Caenorhabditis elegans: one gene and its partner. The protein of the gene in region 1 interacts with the protein of each later gene in a pairwise test. Each region holds a gene or a part of one and is shown on either strand. Other genes may lie near its edges. The genes, in order: F34H10.3 and T06D4.1.

Region 1 (4,177 bases):
TCTATTAAGGGTTGCACTCAAGTGGAATTTCAAGGCATATTCTTGCAGCCCAACAAGGATTTGCTCACTCTCTCTCTCATTAGTCTTGCAAACTTTTTTAATACAATCAATGAAATCACAAAAGTACATTGATATTTTTAACCGTTTTAAAATTGATTACTAAAAGGTTTACAAATTTTCTGACGTATTACCTTGTTTGGTTTTGAACAAGTACTAAAATTTAAGCGTTTTAAAATTTATCAATTAAAAAAAATTATAGCCGATTACTCTTTCACTCAAAATAAGTGATTGATGTAACAAGTATTTTAATCTTGCCCTTCAATTTCCCAATAGAAAACAATATTGAGCAATATTGCAATTCTAATAGGGAAAAATAACGTTGTCAAAATTTAGAGATTGTTTTTAGAAATTTCGTTTTCACAGAATTCTGAACAGACTCCAAACATATTTAATAAGGCTTTGTTGCGCAACAGTAGTCATCCGTCACCCCTTCTCATTTATGTTAGACCACCTATCTGCAATCCGGTTGTTACCTCAAATGGAGCCCGTTCATTACGAACCGTGTCGCCTTCGATGAGTTCAATTGCGTGAACAATTCGTTGATTTAGACCACGAAGTTCAGCAATAACCGAACTGGGAACCACTCCTAGTTGCATGGTCACCTGACGGGATAGCTCACGAAAGTGAAAGATCACAGTGTTAATTTGTTCCTAAGACGTGTAATTATATATAAATATTGGCTTTCAACATGTACTCACAATGTGACGATAGTCTAGAACTTGACGAGGAGGTTCATACATGTCGCTGATCTTCCGTGGAGATGGATGCACTTCTAGAAATAAAGAATAGATGACATCGACATTTAACAATTATTTCCCTTGAACTCAGTTTTAACCTCGGGATAACAGACGAACTTACTTTTTCAAGGAAAGTAACTATGAGTGAAAAATCTAACTGAATAGGAACGCGTTTTCAATTGTATTGATGGGAATGAAAACGAATGTGTTTAGTTATGTGATAGAGACAACTATCAACACAAAAAATTTCCGCCGTCGTCCACGTAGCTTACCAATTTCGTGTTTTTTCGTTTGTCTTCTCCAACAGGACATCATCCCCATTAAAATAAGAATAGAGTAAGTGAACTTCAATTCCTTGATATGAAAACTGTCATCAATTTCCATATAGCGAATACCCGAACTAAAACTAATTATATTGAAGCGCAGAGGGGTTGGAGGAGTGTATGGGTGAAATTGAAGAAAGTTTATGTCTAGAATCGAAATAAGAAGTACACGCTGGAAGCCTTGGAAACAGCACAAGTGGTGTTGAAGAGAAGAAAAATTTTCTGAAAACGCAATGAGATGTAAGATGAGGCTGAAGACAGAAGTGGACTTAGAAGTGGCTCCGGGTAGCACTCAGCGCCATGCAGGAGCCAAGCACAGATACAACTTTTGTACACGGTAGCTGGCTTTTTGTGTGTGGGAAAGCTCATGTTATAACAAAATACGAGTATCAATTATTTTAGGATCAATCCAAAAATTTCATTTAATTGTACACTTTGCTCCCCGCTTCAATATTTATTGTTCTTAATAAGTTCTTCTTGTAAAACTTAAACTTGCTCAAAGCCTTCATAATCCCCAGCCCAAGTTTTCTTGATTTCAGATGACCGACACCGTGGAAAACTTAACAAAGAATATCGAGGATGCTGAATCAAAGGAATCGCCAAAGCTTACTAGAAAGCTCACGATAAACACTGAGGTCGCAGAGGTTGAAGGCCCACCCGAGAAAGTTGCAAAAGTAGAAGTGGAGGAGTATATGCCAGTGGAAGTCTTGCAGACTATCCAACAACTTTCAAGCCCGAAGCTTGGACATAATGGATTACCATGTCGTCCGAAAGCAATGACATTTGTGAATGGACGCCCGACACTTCCTGAGATGGGACCTCTTCAACAGTGCCAACATCTTCAACAAATCCAAAGCCTCATTCACTATCACGAACAACAAGTAAAATACCGGTCTTATATCCAATTAGATATCCTTCGTCATCTTCGCAAACAACTGAATGATCAAATGCTCCTACACCCACACCGTCGCCATTACGAAGCATTGGTAGAAGCAGCTAAATGCAATCGTCTATCCCCGTTGTCAGTGGCGGAGAGAGCTCAGCTAGAGTACTTCACACAAATGGCTGATTGGACATTGGATGCTCGCGTAAGTTTGGAGGAAGTTTGGAAATGGTAACTCCACGTATTTGGAAAAGGAGAAAATGCGTGTTGCGGGTGGGAAAATCAGAAATGCCAGCGTTCCCTAAAAAATTGTCAATTTCCGTTGTTTCAGGCCAGCTTGCAAGGCAAGGAATCGGTGACCTATCTCACGCTTTTTGGACGCCAAGTTTCTGACTTCAAGTCTCGTCTCAACGAAATTACAACCCATGAGCAGTTCCAGGTAAAAAAAACTTTTCAAAACTGTGACCGGATAAACGTGCTGTGTTGTCTAGTAAATTAAACGTAGTTCAGTTTATTATTCTAAATTCTAAATCATTCTAAAACTGAATTAAATTTGAAATTCATAACTGATGTAATAGAAGTTTCCGCTTTTCTCTGAAATTTTGTACAGGAATAACTACGCATAATAAAATTTTTTACACAGATTAAGATGTGTAGACAATTTCAATTAAATCTTATTAATGAATTTATTGACTTTAAGGTATTTGCACCAATGTTTGCTGAACGCATCGATTATCATCGTGAGCTCATCCATACTCTGAATCGTCGTTCATCTGTAAGCATTGCTTAAACATCTCGTAACATAACAAAAGTGTACATTTGAACAAGAATCTATAACCAAATTTTTGACTTACACACCACTGTTTTTGTCAAAGTATTGACGCTCTCCTTAAATGTTTCTCGCGTGATTCCGACTCCACTTTAAAAGGGAATCAGTTATCCAATCAAAAATGTAATCCGACATCTTTGTACATTGTTTGCTTTTTGAACACGTTGATCGTAAATTCAAAAAGTTAATTCCCTCTACGCTTCTCTCAAATTAAAATATCATTGTATGCTTTTCACAATTTAGTTGCCCTCAGTTACTCTACTTTTGTATTTTTGTATCTAAATTCCTCATCTCTGTCCTAGCTTTTCGAATAACAAACGATATCATTGTATCAATGTCCTGTGAATTTCCCCTTGCAGTTTTATATCGTGATTCCTTCCGTAGACCCTCGGTTTTAACTACTCTATTTTTACTCCCAACACATTTATTTTGTATATTGAAAAAATCCGGCTTGCCAAATCTATACGTTCCTGATTTATTGGATAATGTTTTTTGTGATCAAATCACTTAATTCCATTCATTCTTTCTATCATTCGAATTATTATATTTGAACAATAAATTTTAAACGGAAAACAAGATATTGTGAAATCAAAGTTATGCAAATTTGAATCAAATTAAATGTTGAATTGTTTGGATACTGGAGATAATTGTACAAAATCACAATGCAGACAGTTGCTTGTTGCTGTCAAAAATACAATCATTAGTCCTGAAGGTGTAGTAGCGCCACTGGGAAAATTGCTGCAAAACATGCATGTGGCACCAGAATGACCAAATGCCATATTAATGTCATATTTAAACATTTAAAAACTTGTTAAATTGTCAAAGTTACAGTTTTGACACTTTTTGGAAGCCGCCGAACAAAAAAAAATCTTGTTAAAATCTTAATCTTCGATTTTTCTACTTACGTTTCAAATATTTAGGCTCAAACATTGTAGGGATTAGAACATGCGACAGTGCTATATTTTTATCAAAAAGTGGCAAGTGTCACTTTTGACTGTCCATAAAAATTTTTTCAACAATTTTTGAAAAGTTTAGCTGTGATATTAGGTTATTTTGGCACCATAGTAGGGTTTTTTACAAATACAACACTAGCGCTTTAAATTTAACCACGTTTATTACCTCATTTTTAGGTATGATAGCAAGAATCGACGATGAGTTGAGCCAAGTGATCCCAAATCAATAGGAATGCATCACGATTATGCGGAATCATTTCCTGGAAAAATATTATTTTAAAATTTTAGAAGACCATATAATTATTTATATTTTTTTAATAAAAAAAAGTTCCTGAAAAATCGAAACGAGTTTTTTTCACATAAACATCATGAAACAAGTTACGAAACCAATT
Region 2 (4,639 bases), on another chromosome or scaffold:
TTCTCCCTTTTTTTTTGGAAATCGGGAAATTCTATGTATTTCTGAAACGCATAATTTTGTGGCCAGAGGTTCTTCCTTCACTCTTGGGAAGACTTATTGACGCTGCGTCATCTGCAACTACGGATCGATAACATTCGACTACCAGCTGACTACCAGCTCAGCCATTTCTCAGCTCATTCTCTCTCCTCCAAGACTACTCGTTTGCCTTTTATTGATTTTTTAAGAAACTCCTTTACTGCTTTTTTATCCAATTTGTTTGAAATATTTCTAACTCTATAATTTCAGCAGGACAATGAATTCCGCTAAAAAGGAATTTGAGATTTCACACATTTTCACAGATGTATCAAAATTGGAAAACGGTAATTTTCTATTAAGCCCTGAAGAAGATCACTTCAATGTTCCATGGTAAATAGGTTTTATTTTACTAAAATGAATATAAAATGAACATTCAGGGACTTGCAACTTTATCGAGAAGATGATCATTTAGATGTGTACCTCCGTTGTACGAAATTGACGGAAAATGATGAAATTTGTGCAATTGATACGGAATTCGAATTAACTCTTAAAACTTCAAATGGGAAACAAATGAGTCGTAGGGTCAAAGTTGACTTTACACTTGAAAACATCATGATACCCGCATGGAGATGGTCTAAGGTTGTTAGTTGGGAGACATTGTTGAAGGAATACCTAATTGATGATAGTATCATTGTGGAAGCAGCCGTCATGATCAAAGCGATGACTGGGATCCCTAGGATGAAGCTTAGAAGCTTCGAGAAGTCGGCTCAGGAGTATTCTGATGCGATTATAGCAATTGGAGATGAAAAGTTCTACGTTCTCAAGAAGGTATTTGCATTTTTTGCTTTTGAATTTCAATTTTAAATGCTTTTCAGTTTCTCGCTGCTCACTCAACTTACTTCAAGGATCTCCTCTTCGGAGACTTCGACTTCGAACAAGCTGAAAATTCAGAAATCACACTCTCCGATATCAATTCTACCGATTTTCAGTGTCTCCTGGAGGTTCTATACGGAGAACCTGCTATTGATGGTAAAACTGAAAACATGTGAAAGTTCAAATTTTCTATTTTTTCTAGAAGAGAACATTGACGGAATCCTCAAATTGGCTCAGAAGTACAATATGCCCCTGCGATTCGGAGATGTGAAGAGTTCCTAATCAAAATTTCTGAAAGATCAATCAGGGAAAAGTTAAAGATTGCAAAGCAATACCAACTGGATAACTTGAAGGTAAGGATCATAGCTGAGCCTCCAATCCTAATCAGTCTGTTTAGAAATCATGTCTGTCGAAAATCAATATAATGGATGAGATCAAAGCGGCAATGGCATGCAATGTTGCTGAAATGGATCCAACTGTGCTGGCGCCTCTTCTCCAGAAATCGGTGGCTCTTAAATAATTTTTCTAAATTTCTTTTTGAATCAAAAGCACAGACACTGGGATTATGTTAATAAAATTTTCATTGTTAATGCTTGCATAATTATTTCCCGGATTTGCCCAGAAAATTTCGAACCGAACGGGGCAAATCTCACTCTGTTATGAGCCTTTGTTGAGTTGTTGAAGTTAAGGAACGCTGAGCGTTAACGCCGGAGCAAACACATAGGGTGACCAGGAAGAGTGTCGGCTGCTAGTACAATTTTTCTATGTATTATCTTTTTCTAGGCTAGTCTAGTTGAGTTTTGACCTACCAGGTTTTTTTGACCTACCCGGCGCCGAATTTTGTTTTCTTGTGTTTCCTTGGACTCTCACTGGATTTTTGTTCTTTCCCCTCATTTTTCGTCAAGCTTTCCTAGTTTTTTCTCGATTTCATCATCAAATTATTGATTTTTAGATGTCCGACGACCCGAATACCACTCAGGAACGGGCGATGGAAGGCCCATCGGAAAATCAAGCTGCTCGGCAACTAGAGGGCAACCAAGAAGAGGTAACATTTAACAATTTTTCTATTTCATAAATTCCCATTTTTCAGGCACAACGCCAACCAAAAGAAGAGCAAGCTGATCGAGAAGAAGCCAAGGGAGAAGAAGAAGCTCCACAGGTGGCCGCTGCTCTACCCATACCGGACAGCCCATTTCTTACCGAATTGGCCAGGCTTCTACGAGGATCCCTGCGACCATATCTCAACACAGAACCTGATGAAGTCATTGAAGCTGCGAGGCAGGATCACCAACTCGATCAAGAAGTTGCCAATGAGAACTTGTTACAGTATATCTGTAGGACGCTGGTGGAGGTATGTGTTGGGAGAAGATCCATCTAGCCCAATTTTTTTATAGTCGCCGCTGTTGCCCGAAAGTTGCCCAAGAGTTGCCCGATAGTTGCTCGATAGTTGCCCGTTGAAGCCCGCCAATTGCCCGCTGCTGGCCTTTTTTTGCTAGTTGACATCCGCTCCTTGCCTGGTTGAAAATACCTTTTGCAGGGGGTTTCCTGAGTTTCAGCGCTTCAATTTACGTTCCTAACCAATCGTATTTCAGAGCAACGATATGGGTAAACTCGCCGAGATCAGGGAACTTTTCGCCAGAACTCCCGAGGATCCCGCATTTAACACTCCTGCAGGCATCGATGATTCAGCTATGGTTGGTACTTCAAAATCCCTGCTCTTCGTCAATAGTTCCTACTTTCAGAATCAATTTTACGAGTTGATCCGAGACTGTCGAGTTGTTCCAGAGGATGATCAGACTTTCGTGCCAAGACAAGCGCTGGTATACTTTAGAATGCTGGATTCTAATAACTTAAATTTAAATTTCCAGGCTACTAGGATCCACCTGATCATTGATAGTTTTCAAGCGAGACGGGAAAGCGAGTTCCTACGGCAATGGTGTCAACAGGTTGGTTGCCGTCGTTGAAAGACTCACTGAACCAAATTTCAAATTTCAGAATATTGTATGCCTGCTGTATGGAAATCCCGTCCCCGAGATGAAAGATTTTGCCTATCGGATTTTAATTGAGATGCTGACTAGCTCTTCCACTTGGGTAAGGATTTCAACAACTCTTCAACTTGTTTACTAAATCCCCCTTTCAGACTGCAGAGTTGGAATCATTCGCAAACGAGTTGAGTCGGAAAAGAGGCACGTTCATTAACGATTATTGGGCCACGATTCGGGATCAAAATGAAGCAGGTGATTTGGATCCCAAACGGACACTCTTTGCGGACTTTCGAGACCAGCATTCCGTGTTTGGTAATGTTCAATTCGATATCTTCCGTGAACGCTTGGCGCAATTGGAAAAGCTTTGGCATTCGGTTAGTTTCGGTCATTCAGTTTTCAACCAGAATTTCAAAAATTACAGCAAATGAGGATGTTCGATGTTCCGGATAAGGTTCTATGTGTGACTGGTATAGTGACGGATACAATGACTGAAATGTTGATGGGAGTCAAAGACGGGGTAGGTTAGGCGCCCAGGAAGCCCTATAGCAATTTTCTTTCCTTTTCAGAAGCCCAATATCACACCGTTCCTGAAAAAAGCTCGCATATTTTATCGCTTAAGTGATGGAGCTGAAACATCCGAAGCACCAGCAGAAGCATCAGCAAGAGCATCCGAAGCGCCAGAAGCTCCAGCGTTACCACCAAAACGTTCCAGAGGTATCAAGAGAAAGCTGAGTGAATACGCCGAAGAGCTCTTTGAATCAAAAAAGCCTAAGGTATGTAGCTCCATTTTTGTAACCTTAAAATCTACTTCTAACAATTTCAGAGCGACGAGCTTCCGACTGCTGAGCAATGGATGTATTTCCTCCAACACTGTCTACAAGGACCGGAACAAGATGAGCAAAGAGGCGGCAATCAATAAATTAAAATTATTCTTTTTTATTTGTTGTGTGTATTTTTATTGTAAGTATTCAATAGTTTTGAACTATTTTTAGCCTATCAGTTGAAAACATATTTTCAATATTTTGAAAACGAAAGTTTGAAACTCTAAGTATCCCTACAGTAACCCTGAATTGGAGGCAATGACAAGCCCTTTAACTTTGCTGATTGGTCGCACTTTCTCTCACTTTTCAATAAGAAGAAAATATCTTTAAAGCTTACTCGAGAAGAAAAAAACAAAAAAAAAAAGCAACACATTATTGACGATTGTGAATCCGACGCCAAATCATTGCAATCAAATCTTTGTGTTTTGAGATTTGGCGGCTGATGTTCACCATTGCTGACTTTAAACGATCCTGGCCAACTTGCGGGACTCGAAGCTCCCCGAGCAAAGCAAGAGGCTCCAAATTGAGAACGAAAATCAAAATCTGGAAAGTTTGAAGTTCGACAAATGATAATAGGTTCTCCAAAGGGCTCAAAAACGATTCCGCATGGTGATAGCGGCGATTTTCAGAATGCAGTTGTGTGAGCTCTCTCTTAAGATTGTGGAGCTCTCTCGTCGCTCTGTCGAGTCTGCCCCATAGTGTACGGACTTCCATTGGGCCCTGAACCTCGTTATCTTCTTCTTCGTCGACGTCGTCGTCTTCATCATCTTCCTGCAAAAAAAATTTTGGCAGTGTACGACTTAACTTAGAAAATTTGGGACAGAAAGTTGGCAGTGTTCGACAGAAAGTCGATAATATTTGATAGAAAAGTGGAGAAGAGCGGCAGAAAGTCGACAACGTCTCATAGAAAGTTGGCAAACTTCTACAGAAAGTAGCCTTAGAGAT

The links.
Region 2: the proteins of F34H10.3 (region 1) and T06D4.1 interact in a two-hybrid assay, tested with the Caenorhabditis elegans proteins (one large-scale study listed by BioGRID).

The regions. Positions count from the first base shown.
Region 1 is NC_003284.9:9,632,508-9,636,684, reverse strand, and holds F34H10.3 (uncharacterized protein), read left to right. Parts: upstream 1-1,659; coding exon 1,660-2,208; intron 2,209-2,334; coding exon 2,335-2,442; intron 2,443-2,703; coding exon 2,704-2,793; 3' UTR 2,794-3,401; downstream 3,402-4,177. Other genes in the region: F34H10.5 (Mediator of RNA polymerase II transcription subunit 22), read right to left, coding at 534-710, 759-800.
Region 2 is NC_003280.10:3,379,996-3,384,634, forward strand, and holds T06D4.1 (Type VI secretion system protein TssA), read left to right. Parts: upstream 1-1,840; coding exon 1,841-1,933; intron 1,934-1,978; coding exon 1,979-2,239; intron 2,240-2,282; exon of another isoform or gene 2,283-2,437; intron 2,438-2,480; coding exon 2,481-2,582; intron 2,583-2,630; coding exon 2,631-2,708; intron 2,709-2,756; coding exon 2,757-2,834; intron 2,835-2,883; coding exon 2,884-2,979; intron 2,980-3,028; coding exon 3,029-3,247; intron 3,248-3,294; coding exon 3,295-3,390; intron 3,391-3,439; coding exon 3,440-3,646; intron 3,647-3,696; coding exon 3,697-3,792; 3' UTR 3,793-4,022; downstream 4,023-4,639.